2 linked regions of the Drosophila melanogaster genome follow. The protein of the gene in region 1 purifies or fractionates together with the protein of each later gene. This does not show direct contact. Each region holds a gene or a part of one and is shown on either strand. Other genes may lie near its edges. The genes, in order: kz and CG12301.

Region 1 (6,859 bases):
AACCAAATTGGAAAATGAAAACAGCCATAGGATTCAGTACTGAGGCTCGTTCAATTAAGAATATTAAGTTACTAAGAGTGCATTTATGAATCTACTACGCCTGCCACGATCGAACAGTACAAAATTCTATTAGTTTTTTAAATTTGTATACAAGGTGGCAGTAAACACATTGTATTGCAGTTCTAAATAGTTACACAATTTTGTTCAGTTCCTAATAAATCTATGGTTGTAAATATATGCCAATAGTTTCTCTTTTGCGGATATATATCAGTGCCAAGGGAACAACCGAAGGTGAAAATAGATATGACAACAACCTTCCGCAGGACTGCAGGATAATGCGAGAGAGTGCATCAGGTTGAGACTTACTTTTTCACTTTCTCTGCTCTCTTATTTTTTTCCTACCGCCCGGCAAACGCAACAAAGAGGGACGGGTGGGGGTTACGGATCAAATCAGGGGTGCAAAGTGATTCCGGATTAAGCCGAAACTGTACCCGGAATCGGTGTGCCTCCCTGAATAGAGCTTCGGATGGGACACCTGTTCCAAGGGAATAAGGATATGTTGGGGGGTCTCTATATGCTCACCTTGGCCTTGACAGTGGCTGCCTCCTGCTTGAGATACTCTTCCCGCGCCGCTTCGTAGAGACTAACGAACTTGTCCCGCTGGCCCTTGTACTGAGCGAAGAGCTCGTCGTCTTTGTGGCCCTTCAATCTGTTCTCGATGTCCACCTTCTTGTCGTGCTCGCTGCGTATCTCGTCCGTTACCCAGGGCTTTTCGATGGGATACTGATTGATCAGGTTCTTTAGTGTCTTTATGCTGCTCTTGCCTTTCACCACCTGCTTGATTAGCTTGGGATTGGGCTTCATTATCCGGCCGCCATTCATGTTCATTGGTCCATAAGGTCCGACCGGTGGAATTCCCCGCGGCGGCATCCGTGGACCCATCATGTGCATGGGCGGTGGGACACCCATCATAGGACCTGGACCGGGTCCGTTGCGACGCATAAAGAGCGGTGGCGGCGGCGGTGGTGGTCCACCCATGGGGCCCATGGGTCCGGGACCGCGCATACCAGGCACCGGTGGCGGGAAAGGCATTTGCGGGTAAGGTCCTCCAGGGCCCATCGGTCCGGGTCCCCGTGGTCCGGGGCCCATCGGACCCATTGGCGGACCCATCATGAGGCGTGGAGGAGGACGGTTCGGAGGCGGCCCGCGTTGGAATCCATTAAAGCCACCGCGAATCTGATTGGGATTGTTGCCCGGATGGCGCTGCCAATCGCTTCCGTTCATCTGATTGTTGAAGGGCTGCTGCGACTGGTTCATATGATTGTTGTTCTGGTTGTTCATCTTGCCCTGCTGCTGGTTCGGACTGAGATGCTGCTGCTGGTTCGAATTGGGATGCTGCTGCTGGTTCGGACTGGGATGCTGCTGCTGGTTCGGACTGGGATGCTGCTGCTGGTTCGGACTGGGAGGCTGCTGCTGGTTCGGACTGGGATGCTGCTGCTGTTTGATGCCCTTCATAGACTTCTTCTTGGGACTGCCTACCTGATTGTGTTTGAATCCTGGTGGCGGGCTGCTGAAGTCAATGTACAGGGGATCGCTCGGCATTTGGCTGGAGGAAAACATCATCTGATTGTTACCGTTGACCCTGTTACCATTCCCATTTCCTCCTGGTCCGGAGTTAATTTTGCCCGAACGAAACGGTTTTCTATACGGAGCCGCAGCTGCGCGGGGATTATTGTTGCAATTATTATTGTTGCTCTGGTTGTTGCGGTGCTGCAGATTTGGCTGCTGCTGTTGCTGAAACTGTTGCTGCATTTGGTGCGGGTGCTGCTGCTGCGACTGCATGGTCCAGTTCTGATAGAATTGGTTCTTGGACACCATTGCAGGTAGCTGGATTTCACTGAAAACGGGGGTTCAGGACTCGAGCAGAGGAGCCAAGCCGAAACGACAGGCGGGGAGCAGATGGATCTAAAATGTTGCACGCCTATTTGTCACAAAAACTTATATTGAAAATATTACGATGAATCGATTGCGATAACGTTTCGATACCAGTGCTGTCGAAGGAGTGTGAACAACTATAACAATCAGTTTTTCCCACTAATGTATGTTTCCACTAACACAAATGTAACATCACAGCACATTTTAGAGTATCTCAACTTTTGTTATCGCCTGCGCTGTTATCGATAAGCGTACTTCGCACGTGTGATTTAAATCAATGTTTATATTATTGCCCAAAGTTAATTCTGTTACTTTATTTTATTAACTATATTGGTAAAGTAAAGTAATCATGGGCAAGAAGGTGCACAATGCCAAGGCGCGGCAGAATCCACAAACAATTGTGGACAACTCGGCCGTGAAGAAGGTAGGTCATCCGTCGGACCACACACTCGAATCCGCTTTCTTACCCTTTCCAAATCCAATACTCTACAGATTCAGATCGATGTGGATGCTGTGGCCGGCGGCAACCAGGTTGGCTACGATGAGGCCAACGCTCTGGTTCTGCCCTCCGAGAAGCGGGCCACCAAGATTAAGGTGGACAAAGTGCAACACGTGAAGATCCTTTCCAAGAAGCAGCGCAAGCACCTCCAGGCTATTGTGGACAAGAAGAAAAAGAAAGAGGGTGTAGGTTTTTATTCAGTGCTAATATAAAACTGATATTTAATTGAAATCTTTTCTAATTTAGCGCGCTCAGCTGTTGGGTGACCTTGCTGCCGTTCAAATTCCGGAGGAGGAGCTGCAGCAGTATACTTCCATTAGCCAAGTGCAAACCGTGGGATTAAAGCGTCTACCCACCCTTGACGAGTATCTAGCCAAGAAAAAGGAAAGACAGGCCCAAGTTTTAGCTGAAAAAAGCTCGGCGTCGGGTCTCCGCGTAAATGCTATAAAGGGCTCCAAGCGCAAGCTTCTCGTCGAAGAGGAGGAGGAACTACAGGCCAAGCGAAAGAATCCGAATGTAATTAGCGTGGAGGAAGATGACGAAGATTCTTCATCCTCTGATGAGGACGATGAGGAGGCACCAGCTCAATCCGCTCCTATTGCCATACCCACTCCAGTGTCTATAGCTCCACCGCAAATCGCTGTTAAACCACCCATTAAAAAGTTGAAGCCAGAGCCTAACCCACCTGCCTGTATCCACCAGACTGTCTATGTGCCCGTACATCGGACAACAGAAGTTCAGAATGCCCGTCTTCGACTGCCTATCCTCGCGGAGGAGCAGCAGGTGATGGAGACAATCAACGAAAACCCCATTGTGATCGTGGCTGGTGAGACTGGCTCTGGAAAGACTACCCAGCTACCGCAGTTCCTGTACGAAGCGGGGTATGCCCAGCACAAGATGATTGGAGTGACGGAGCCGCGGCGAGTGGCTGCTATTGCCATGTCCAAGCGGGTGGCCCACGAGATGAACCTGCCGGAGAGCGAGGTGTCATACCTCATTCGCTTCGAGGGAAACGTAACACCAGCGACGCGCATTAAATTCATGACAGATGGTGTGTTGCTTAAGGAGATCGAAACTGACTTTCTGCTTAGTAAGTACTCAGTGATCATCCTGGACGAGGCGCACGAGCGCAGTGTTTACACAGACATCCTAGTGGGTCTCCTGTCAAGGATCGTGCCCTTGCGTCACAAACGCGGGCAGCCGCTGAAGCTGATCATTATGTCTGCCACTTTGCGGGTATCCGATTTTACAGAGAATACTCGCTTGTTTAAGATTCCGCCACCGTTGCTTAAAGTGGAGGCTCGACAATTTCCGGTGACTATTCACTTCCAGAAGCGCACACCTGATGACTATGTGGCGGAGGCTTACCGCAAGACCTTAAAAATCCATAATAAGCTTCCGGAAGGCGGCATACTAATTTTTGTGACGGGACAGCAGGAGGTCAACCAACTGGTGCGCAAGCTGCGACGTACGTTTCCGTATCATCATGCGCCAACCAAGGATGTCGCTAAAAATGGAAAGGTATCGGAGGAAGAAAAAGAGGAAACAATAGATGATGCGGCATCGACTGTGGAGGATCCCAAGGAGCTGGAGTTTGATATGAAACGAGTTATACGTAATATTCGTAAATCTAAGAAAAAGTTCTTGGCGCAAATGGCGTTACCCAAAATCAATTTGGACGACTACAAGCTCCCTGGTGATGATACGGAAGCAGACATGCACGAGCAGCCGGATGAGGATGATGAGCAGGAGGGACTAGAAGAGGATAACGACGATGAACTAGGCTTGGAGGATGAGTCGGGAATGGGATCTGGTCAAAGGCAACCTCTGTGGGTCCTGCCGCTCTACTCGCTCCTCTCCTCGGAGAAGCAAAACCGCATCTTCCTGCCCGTTCCCGATGGCTGCCGGCTATGCGTGGTTAGCACCAATGTGGCAGAGACATCTCTCACCATCCCGCACATCAAGTATGTTGTTGACTGTGGTCGCCAGAAGACGCGTCTTTACGACAAACTGACGGGTGTGAGTGCTTTTGTGGTAACCTACACGTCTAAGGCCTCGGCGGATCAGCGTGCTGGACGAGCGGGTCGCATCAGCGCCGGACATTGCTATCGCCTCTACTCGAGTGCCGTGTACAACGACTGCTTCGAGGACTTTTCCCAGCCGGATATCCAGAAAAAGCCCGTCGAGGACCTTATGCTGCAAATGCGCTGCATGGGCATCGATCGCGTGGTGCACTTTCCCTTTCCCTCACCACCGGATCAAGTGCAGCTGCAAGCCGCCGAGCGGCGATTGATCGTGCTAGGTGCCCTGGAGGTCGCCAAGACAGAGAATACAGATTTGCCACCAGCCGTTACTCGTTTGGGTCACGTTATCTCCCGCTTTCCCGTGGCGCCGCGCTTTGGAAAAATGCTGGCTCTGTCCCACCAGCAGAACCTACTGCCCTACACCGTCTGCCTGGTGGCCGCACTTTCAGTCCAGGAGGTGCTAATCGAAACGGGCGTTCAAAGGGATGAGGATGTGGCACCTGGCGCGAATCGGTTCCACCGCAAACGCCAAAGTTGGGCGGCCAGCGGCAACTATCAGTTGCTTGGAGATCCTATGGTCTTATTACGTGCCGTAGGAGCTGCAGAGTACGCCGGATCGCAGGGCCGCTTGCCAGAGTTTTGTGCTGCGAATGGATTGCGCCAGAAAGCGATGAGCGAGGTGCGAAAATTGCGCGTCCAGCTGACTAACGAGATTAACCTGAATGTTAGTGACGTTGAGCTGGGTGTGGACCCCGAACTGAAGCCTCCCACCGATGCCCAGGCGCGTTTCCTTCGCCAAATTCTATTGGCCGGCATGGGCGACCGGGTGGCTAGAAAGGTACCTCTGGCAGACATCGCCGACAAGGAAGAGCGGCGGCGATTAAAGTACGCATACAATTGTGCTGACATGGAGGAACCAGCGTTCCTGCACGTCTCATCCGTGTTGCGTCAAAAAGCACCCGAATGGGTAATCTATCAGGAGGCATACGAGCTGCAAAACGGCGACTCTACCAAGATGTTCATCCGCGGCATCACCGCCATTGAGCCGGAGTGGCTTCTTCTATACGTTCCCCTGCTCTGCAACATACGTGAGGTGCGCGAGGATCCTGCTCCCAGATTTGATAAAACATCAGGGAAGATCTTCTGTCACGTGGATGCCACGTTTGGCAAGTCGGGGTGGGAGCTGCCTCTCGGGGAAGTGGAGATGCCGCTCAGCGAAAAGGCCTGCTGGTGAGTGTCTTTTTAAAGGTTGGGTATTTAGATAAGTGATCATACTAATCATGTGGTTTCAGTTACTTCGGAATGTTTCTGCTGGATGGAGAGGTTTGCTCGAGGTTAGCAGACTTCCGGAGCAAACTAAAGTCCACACCCGCCTCCGTAATCAAGAGCTGGTCCAGTATGAACAACAAGGTATTGCGCTTTAAGCGCGCTCTAATTACCAAGCAGATCCATAACCGCCAGGCTCTGATCGACCAATGGAATAGCGATCCTCACTGTAAGTTTACCCCAGTCTCTCGAACCCTAATTTCTTTGCTAATCTTCCGTTTCTTCTTAGTCCTTTTGGAGGAGTATCAGAACCTGCTCTACGACGTGGCGCTTAGCGAACTGACGCCTTTATGGCCACCGGTGGACAAGAAAGAGCCACAACGCCAGTAAAAAAGCTAGATAAAAGGGGGTTTTTTTGTATAACAAGTTTCATTTATTATTTATTTAATTGATATATATTTATATAATTTTTATGTATAATATAAATATGAAATTTGTTTTAAATGGAACTAAAAAAATGGAGTGGAGTGAGGGGGAATAAAAATGTTTTGTTAACAGCTAGTTTCGATAAATGTTTAATACAATCCATATATGTACATAGAAATAATCAATATTCATTGTATTTTGTTTTTTGTTGTCTGTTGGTTTTGTCTCTTGGTAATTAATCGTAAGAAAATTTGTCTGCTCTTGGTGAGAAATTAGCATTTACACTTGTGTTAATGAGAGATTTGGCTAATTGGGCATGTGGCTATATAGTGTGTATACGCCTTGGTATATGGTATATACTCATCGAACGAACGGAACGATCGGATTCGGATAGGCCGACAACTGTAGCTTTGTTCGCTTAGCTTCGCTCTTCCCTATATGTACATGTAAATCGCTAGTTGGGATTGGGATTAGGACTCCGTTTGCTGCAACTCCTCCCCCCCCAGGCAATTGGCTGGGACTTCTCAAATGTCATCCACCATACGTCTACAAATGTGTGTAGAAAAAATCAGTCTAATATATTAAGGCAACGTGAGAGCTTTACATGTCGTCATTCCACTTGATCCTCGTCCTCATCCTCATCCTCTTAATCATCTAGGAATTGTGTGTAATATCTTAGTTTTGTAACTTGAATCCTGTCCGAAGTTCG
Region 2 (5,179 bases), on another chromosome or scaffold:
CCGACCAACTTCTCACTGGCCCGGCAAATAAACTTACGCATGATGATGTGGACGCGGATGTGGATGCGGATGTGGAGGAGCCGCTGGCCAAGGAATCCGCCGCCAGGCTAACGTTCTTGAGAGGATACATGCAGGTGGGCAGCTTTATGTCGAATTGCGGCAGCAGAGTCTTCAGTTCGTACATTTTCGCGGCGAGAATCGTTGGATAAACACAATAACCTGCGCAAATTATCAATTCCAAAATGTGCTTGCCGTCTGTGAGAAACTTTACAAAATACCAAATAATTTAAGGCAACGCTATCGCTATCGTTCCACTTAACACCATTAATCTGGTCACATTGCGTGCGGTAATGAAAGCTATTGAATTCAAATTTAAAATGTAGTTTTTATACATTTTATACTTCATCCAGAATATTCTGCTTGGTCAACTACTGTTGTGTCGTTATACCTTTAACGAAAATCAAACAAAACATTGTTTAACTCTTTTTAATTCAAGTTTTTTTTATAGAAATGTCTCAGTTATTAACAAAAATAAAAAACAATTTGAGAAAATAATGCAATTTATATAATAATTTCCCTTTCTATAGCTAAGTAAATTAGGAGACTGGCAATCGTTCATATTATTCAGATTTATTTTTAAAAATATTCCTAGTTCTATGCTATCTTGGCCTTGGGTGGCACTTTCGGTATGCGCTTTATCCTCCTGTCCACGATGTGGCGTAGACGCCTGTCCGGCTTGACCAGCTCGCTCTCTGTCATGGGCTCGATTACCTGGCCCTTGCGCGTGATTACTGCCGGACGGGTCAGCATGCGGAACGCCGTCTCCGGCACAAAGTTCCGGCCAACTGGAGCACGGATACTGGCTTCGTAGTCTGCCAGGGATCGGAAAGGAAATGGTATGCTGGAGACCATGTGCTGGCGCGCCTGCTTGCTGGCGGACTCGTTGAGGTAAAGATTATCCTTATTCTCGTCACGACGCTTTTCCGGAGCAGCCAACTTAAGAAGAAGCCGCTTGTTTCGTCGCTCCATTACCTCCTTCGAAATGCCAGCACCCGCCCAGGAACCCCATCCAGGCAGGGCGAGCTGAAGCTCAGTGTTCTTAAGCTCGGAGTCCTTGCTTTTGTCCCGATTAAAATCAGCTACAATGTCATCATCCTCGAAGGCTTGACTGATTGTCAACTGGCGTTCAGCAGCGGCGTCTTCCTCGTCGTATTCAGCTGCTTCATCGTCTATTAGAGCATCGTTAAAGCCTCCCGAGTTGCCCTTCTTTTGGGTAAACACCAAAGTTGTCACCTTGTTGGGATCTATGGTATCCACAGCTGGAATTTCCGTGCTTTCTGTGTTACCTTCAACGTGGGCAGGGATATTATTCTGTGAATTTTTATCCTCCTCGTAGTTAAGGGGCTCGTCAATCTCTATCTGTTGCTTTGTCTTTTTTAAAGCCAGACTTTTTAGGTTTTGCAAGACGTCCTTCTTTTTCGCCTTCTTTCCCTTGACAGGAACTTCTTTAAGTTTGTTTATCCGTTCCCTCAATTTCTCCATTTTCTTATTTAGTTTGGCTCTGATATGATCCTCGTGTTTCTCAAAAATGTCATCAATGGCTTTTGAATTCGGGCTTGCCTTGGCTTCTTTCTGATCAGTTGGGCAAATATCTTCCACCTCCCAGCCATTTTCTATCTTAACTTTCGATTTCTTAAGTTTCTTCTTAGCAGGTTTTACTTCTATTAATGGTTTCCGAATAGTTTCTTTCTCCTCCTGCTCGTCATTATCCTGGACTCCTTCCAAATCCCTACGATGCTCCTCCAGTAACTTTTCGTTTTTATTCCTTTTTGTCCAATATTGCCGCCAATTGGAACCCTCACTTTCACCATTTCCATTTTCCGTTTGCTCTGTAGCTTTTCTTTTTGTCCAAGGATTAAAGGGATCGTAGTCATTATCCTCCTCCTCGGGTAAAACTCTCTTCTTGGTGGTTTCATCTTCGCTGTCTGACACCTGCTTTTTCTGGGTCAGTTCCCTGCTAACAGCCAACTGCTCGGCCAGATCCTTTCGCACATCCTTGTCGTACTTGGCCCGTATCTGCAGATTCTTCGCCCAAGTACCGGTGTTCTTGTGCCGCAGGCTGGCACGCTCCTGCACTCGACTCTTTTCCAGGGCATTAAGCTTTTCCAGCGCCGCCTCTGGATCGGTTTTCTGCAGCAACTCGAACTCCTTCATCTGCTCCAACATTTTTTGTCTCTTCTGCAGCTTGTGGAACTTTTTCGATTTGATTTTGTTTTGCATGCGCGCCTTTGCTGACTTTTGAGACTCGCGCATCTTCAGGTAAGCTAGCTCCTTGCGACGGGCAAATAGTTCGTCCCTGGTAAGCTTCTTTTGTAGTAAAAGCCGCTCTTGCTTGGCCAGCTCCTTTTCATCCGTGGTATCCCCAATTTGCGCTTTGCGCAGTTCCCGTAGTTTACGGTTGTTAGCCTCGAGTTCTTGAGCAAGATTGGACTTGACCCGGGTGTTTAGAGGCCTGGCATTTGCCGCAGTATTTACGTAAACCGTTTCAGATGGTAGGGGGAAGATCTGTAATAAGTTTTGGAGATTATATGTGTATGTCACTGTTAGCATTGGCATTCATTCACCTGCGTCTCCGCAGATCTCTGTTGAGCCACCACAGCATCCCAACGACCGAGTTTCTTGGTAACTCCCTCGTAGCCAATGGTCCGTTTAATTCGATCCGCAGCTGGTTTCTCCAGCGGCTTCTGTAGCACCTTTTTGCTGCCATGGATGTTCTTGAGCTTCTTGCCCGTCTGACTGTGCTTGGTGGAGGTGCGTAGGATGTCTACCAGATCGTTCAGACCCACGGCTCTGGGGGCATGATCCGTTTCCGCTGACGAAACACCTTTTACCAGCTGGAACTCATCCTGGAGCGACTGCCGCTCGTCGCGCGTGGACTTCTGGATGTGCTGCACCTTGCCCAGACTGCCGATGGCCTGCAGCAGCTTCTTGTGTGCCTTTGGTTCGTAGTGCTCCTCGTCGTCACTCATTTTTGTCAGGAAAATATTTAAAATCAAATAACAATACAAAAATACTTCGCGCAGCACGTGTGCAGAATAACAGCTGAAGAGTTATCGATAAGTTTTGCGGCCCATCACAATTTCTACCTGTGCTCGATAGCATGAGTGTGGAAAATGGAGCTGCCTTCTTTTAAAAATTAACTTAAATATAATAACATTTACTACTCAATACATATATCTATGCATCAAAAATCAATTGATTTTTTTTTAACAATAAATGTACTTTTAACTCAGCGAAAACCCCCTTCGTAACGCCCTTGATGATTACTATCGATTGTCCCCCCACGAAAGACCGGCTATCGATGACAACGGGATGAAAATATTTTGTTTACGAATTCGACATTCGAATCGTCATGGCCGACACGAAATCCGGTAGTGGTCGGCATTCGGCTGCCGGGGGAAGTGGAAACGCCGTCCTGTCGCCCTTGGGGCAGGGTCCTGCGAACTTGGAGTGTAAGGACTTTCAGGAGTATCTGCGCACCCGCCAAACGCCAGAGTCGCTGGAGAAGCTGTACAACTATCCGCCCATTTGTTTGGCCGTTTTTCGGGAGCTTCCAGAGATAGCCCGGCAGTTTATCATAAGGATACTGTTCGTGGATCAGCCTGTGCCACAAGCGGTGGTCACATCATGGGGTGCCCAACGTTGTGCCAAGTATGACTGTATCCAATTGGATAAACAATATCATTGCAATGCATTACTTTTGCAGGGAGCAAGCCGAGGCAACCAGCTGCCTGACGGCTTTGAACGTCTGGCGGGTCACAGCCATTCCGGGTGGCCTTTCTGCGTGGGAGCTCTCGCCCACCTTCAAGAAAAGCGTACGCCAGGTGCTGCTGGGCGGCGGAAAACCTTGGCCTATGACCAACACGCTGGATAAGGACTCGAAGCCCAGGGACATTGCTTTTCTGGATACATACGCCATGTCCCGCTGGCGTTGCGTGTTGCACTACATGGTCGGCACCGGAAATCGCAATGGCACCGATGCGGAGGCCATTAGTCCGGACGCCGTTCGGATTCTGCTGCACGCCAATCTCATGAAACGTGATGAACGAGACGGTATCACAATAACCCGGCAGGGCTTTCAGTTCCTGCTGCTGGACACGCGAGCTCAGGTGTGGCATTTTATGCTACAGTACCTGGACACGTGCGAAGAAAGAGGAATCAGCCTGCCGGAATGCTTGTCCATGTTGTTCCAGCTCAGTTTTTCAACGCTGGGCAGGGATTACAGTTCCGAGGGCATGAACAGTCAGATGCTGACATTCCTGCAGCATCTACGGGAGTTTGGACTGGTCTTCCAACGTAAGCGTAAGGAGGGACGCTTCTATCCCACACGTTTGGCTCTGAATGTGACAAGCAAGGAGGCGGCTGCGACTGCATCTGTGGCCATGGATGAGGAGGCCACTCAGGACTGTGGCTACATTGTGGTGGAGACGAACTACCGAGTGTATGCCTACACTGATTCTCCGCTCCAGGTAGCCGTGTTAGGTCTGTTCACGGAGCTTCTCTACCGCTTTCCCAATCTCGTCGTGGGCGTGCTAACCCGCGATTCAGTGCGCCAGGCGTTGCGTGGCGGTATCACGGCAGAGCAGATTGTCTCGTATCTGGAGCAGTATGCGCATCCCAATATGCGCATGGTCGAGTCAGCCATTCACTCTAAATCCTGCCTGCCACCCACAGTCGTTGATCAAATTAAGCTGTGGGAATTAGAGCGAAATCGCTTCACCTACACCGAAGGCGTGCTGTACAATCAGTTCCTCTCGCATACAGATTTCGTAACGCTACGAGACTACGCCCAGTCGATCCACATGCTGGTGTGGCAAAATGAGCGAACTCGCACAATGGTGGTGCAAAAGAATGGCCACGACGATGTCAAGCGTTACTGGAAGAAGTACTCTAAGAGTGGTGTTTAGCCCGGTATTACGACCAATTATTGGGAAGTTATTTTAGAAGTAACATCTGTGCCCATTTTGTTACAAGCTAAAATTTTAAAATATGGTTTAATAAGGGAGTGTGGGATTACACATTTATCATCGACATTCAACATACAAGTGGAATAAAATTAAAATACACAAGTATCATACACATAAAAACAGAAAACCACCAAAGCTTTTCCTAGATTGTC

What was found.
Region 2: the proteins of kz (region 1) and CG12301 purify together in Drosophila melanogaster (affinity purification with mass spectrometry, with the first as the bait; one large-scale study listed by BioGRID). This does not show direct contact.

The regions. Positions count from the first base shown.
Region 1 is NC_004354.4:2,237,328-2,244,186, reverse strand, and holds kz (kurz), read left to right. Parts: upstream 1-2,151; 5' UTR 2,152-2,284; coding exon 2,285-2,359; intron 2,360-2,427; coding exon 2,428-2,619; intron 2,620-2,680; coding exon 2,681-5,688; intron 5,689-5,750; coding exon 5,751-5,953; intron 5,954-6,013; coding exon 6,014-6,114; 3' UTR 6,115-6,329; downstream 6,330-6,859. Other genes in the region: fs(1)K10 (female sterile (1) K10), read right to left, coding at 583-1,878.
Region 2 is NT_037436.4:15,578,740-15,583,918, reverse strand, and holds CG12301 (uncharacterized protein), read right to left. Parts: upstream 3,120-5,179; 5' UTR 3,030-3,119; coding exon 2,625-3,029; intron 2,566-2,624; coding exon 655-2,565; 3' UTR 546-654; downstream 1-545. Other genes in the region: AIMP2 (aaRS-interacting multifunctional protein 2), read right to left, coding at 38-184; mrn (marionette), read left to right, coding at 3,413-3,711, 3,767-4,967.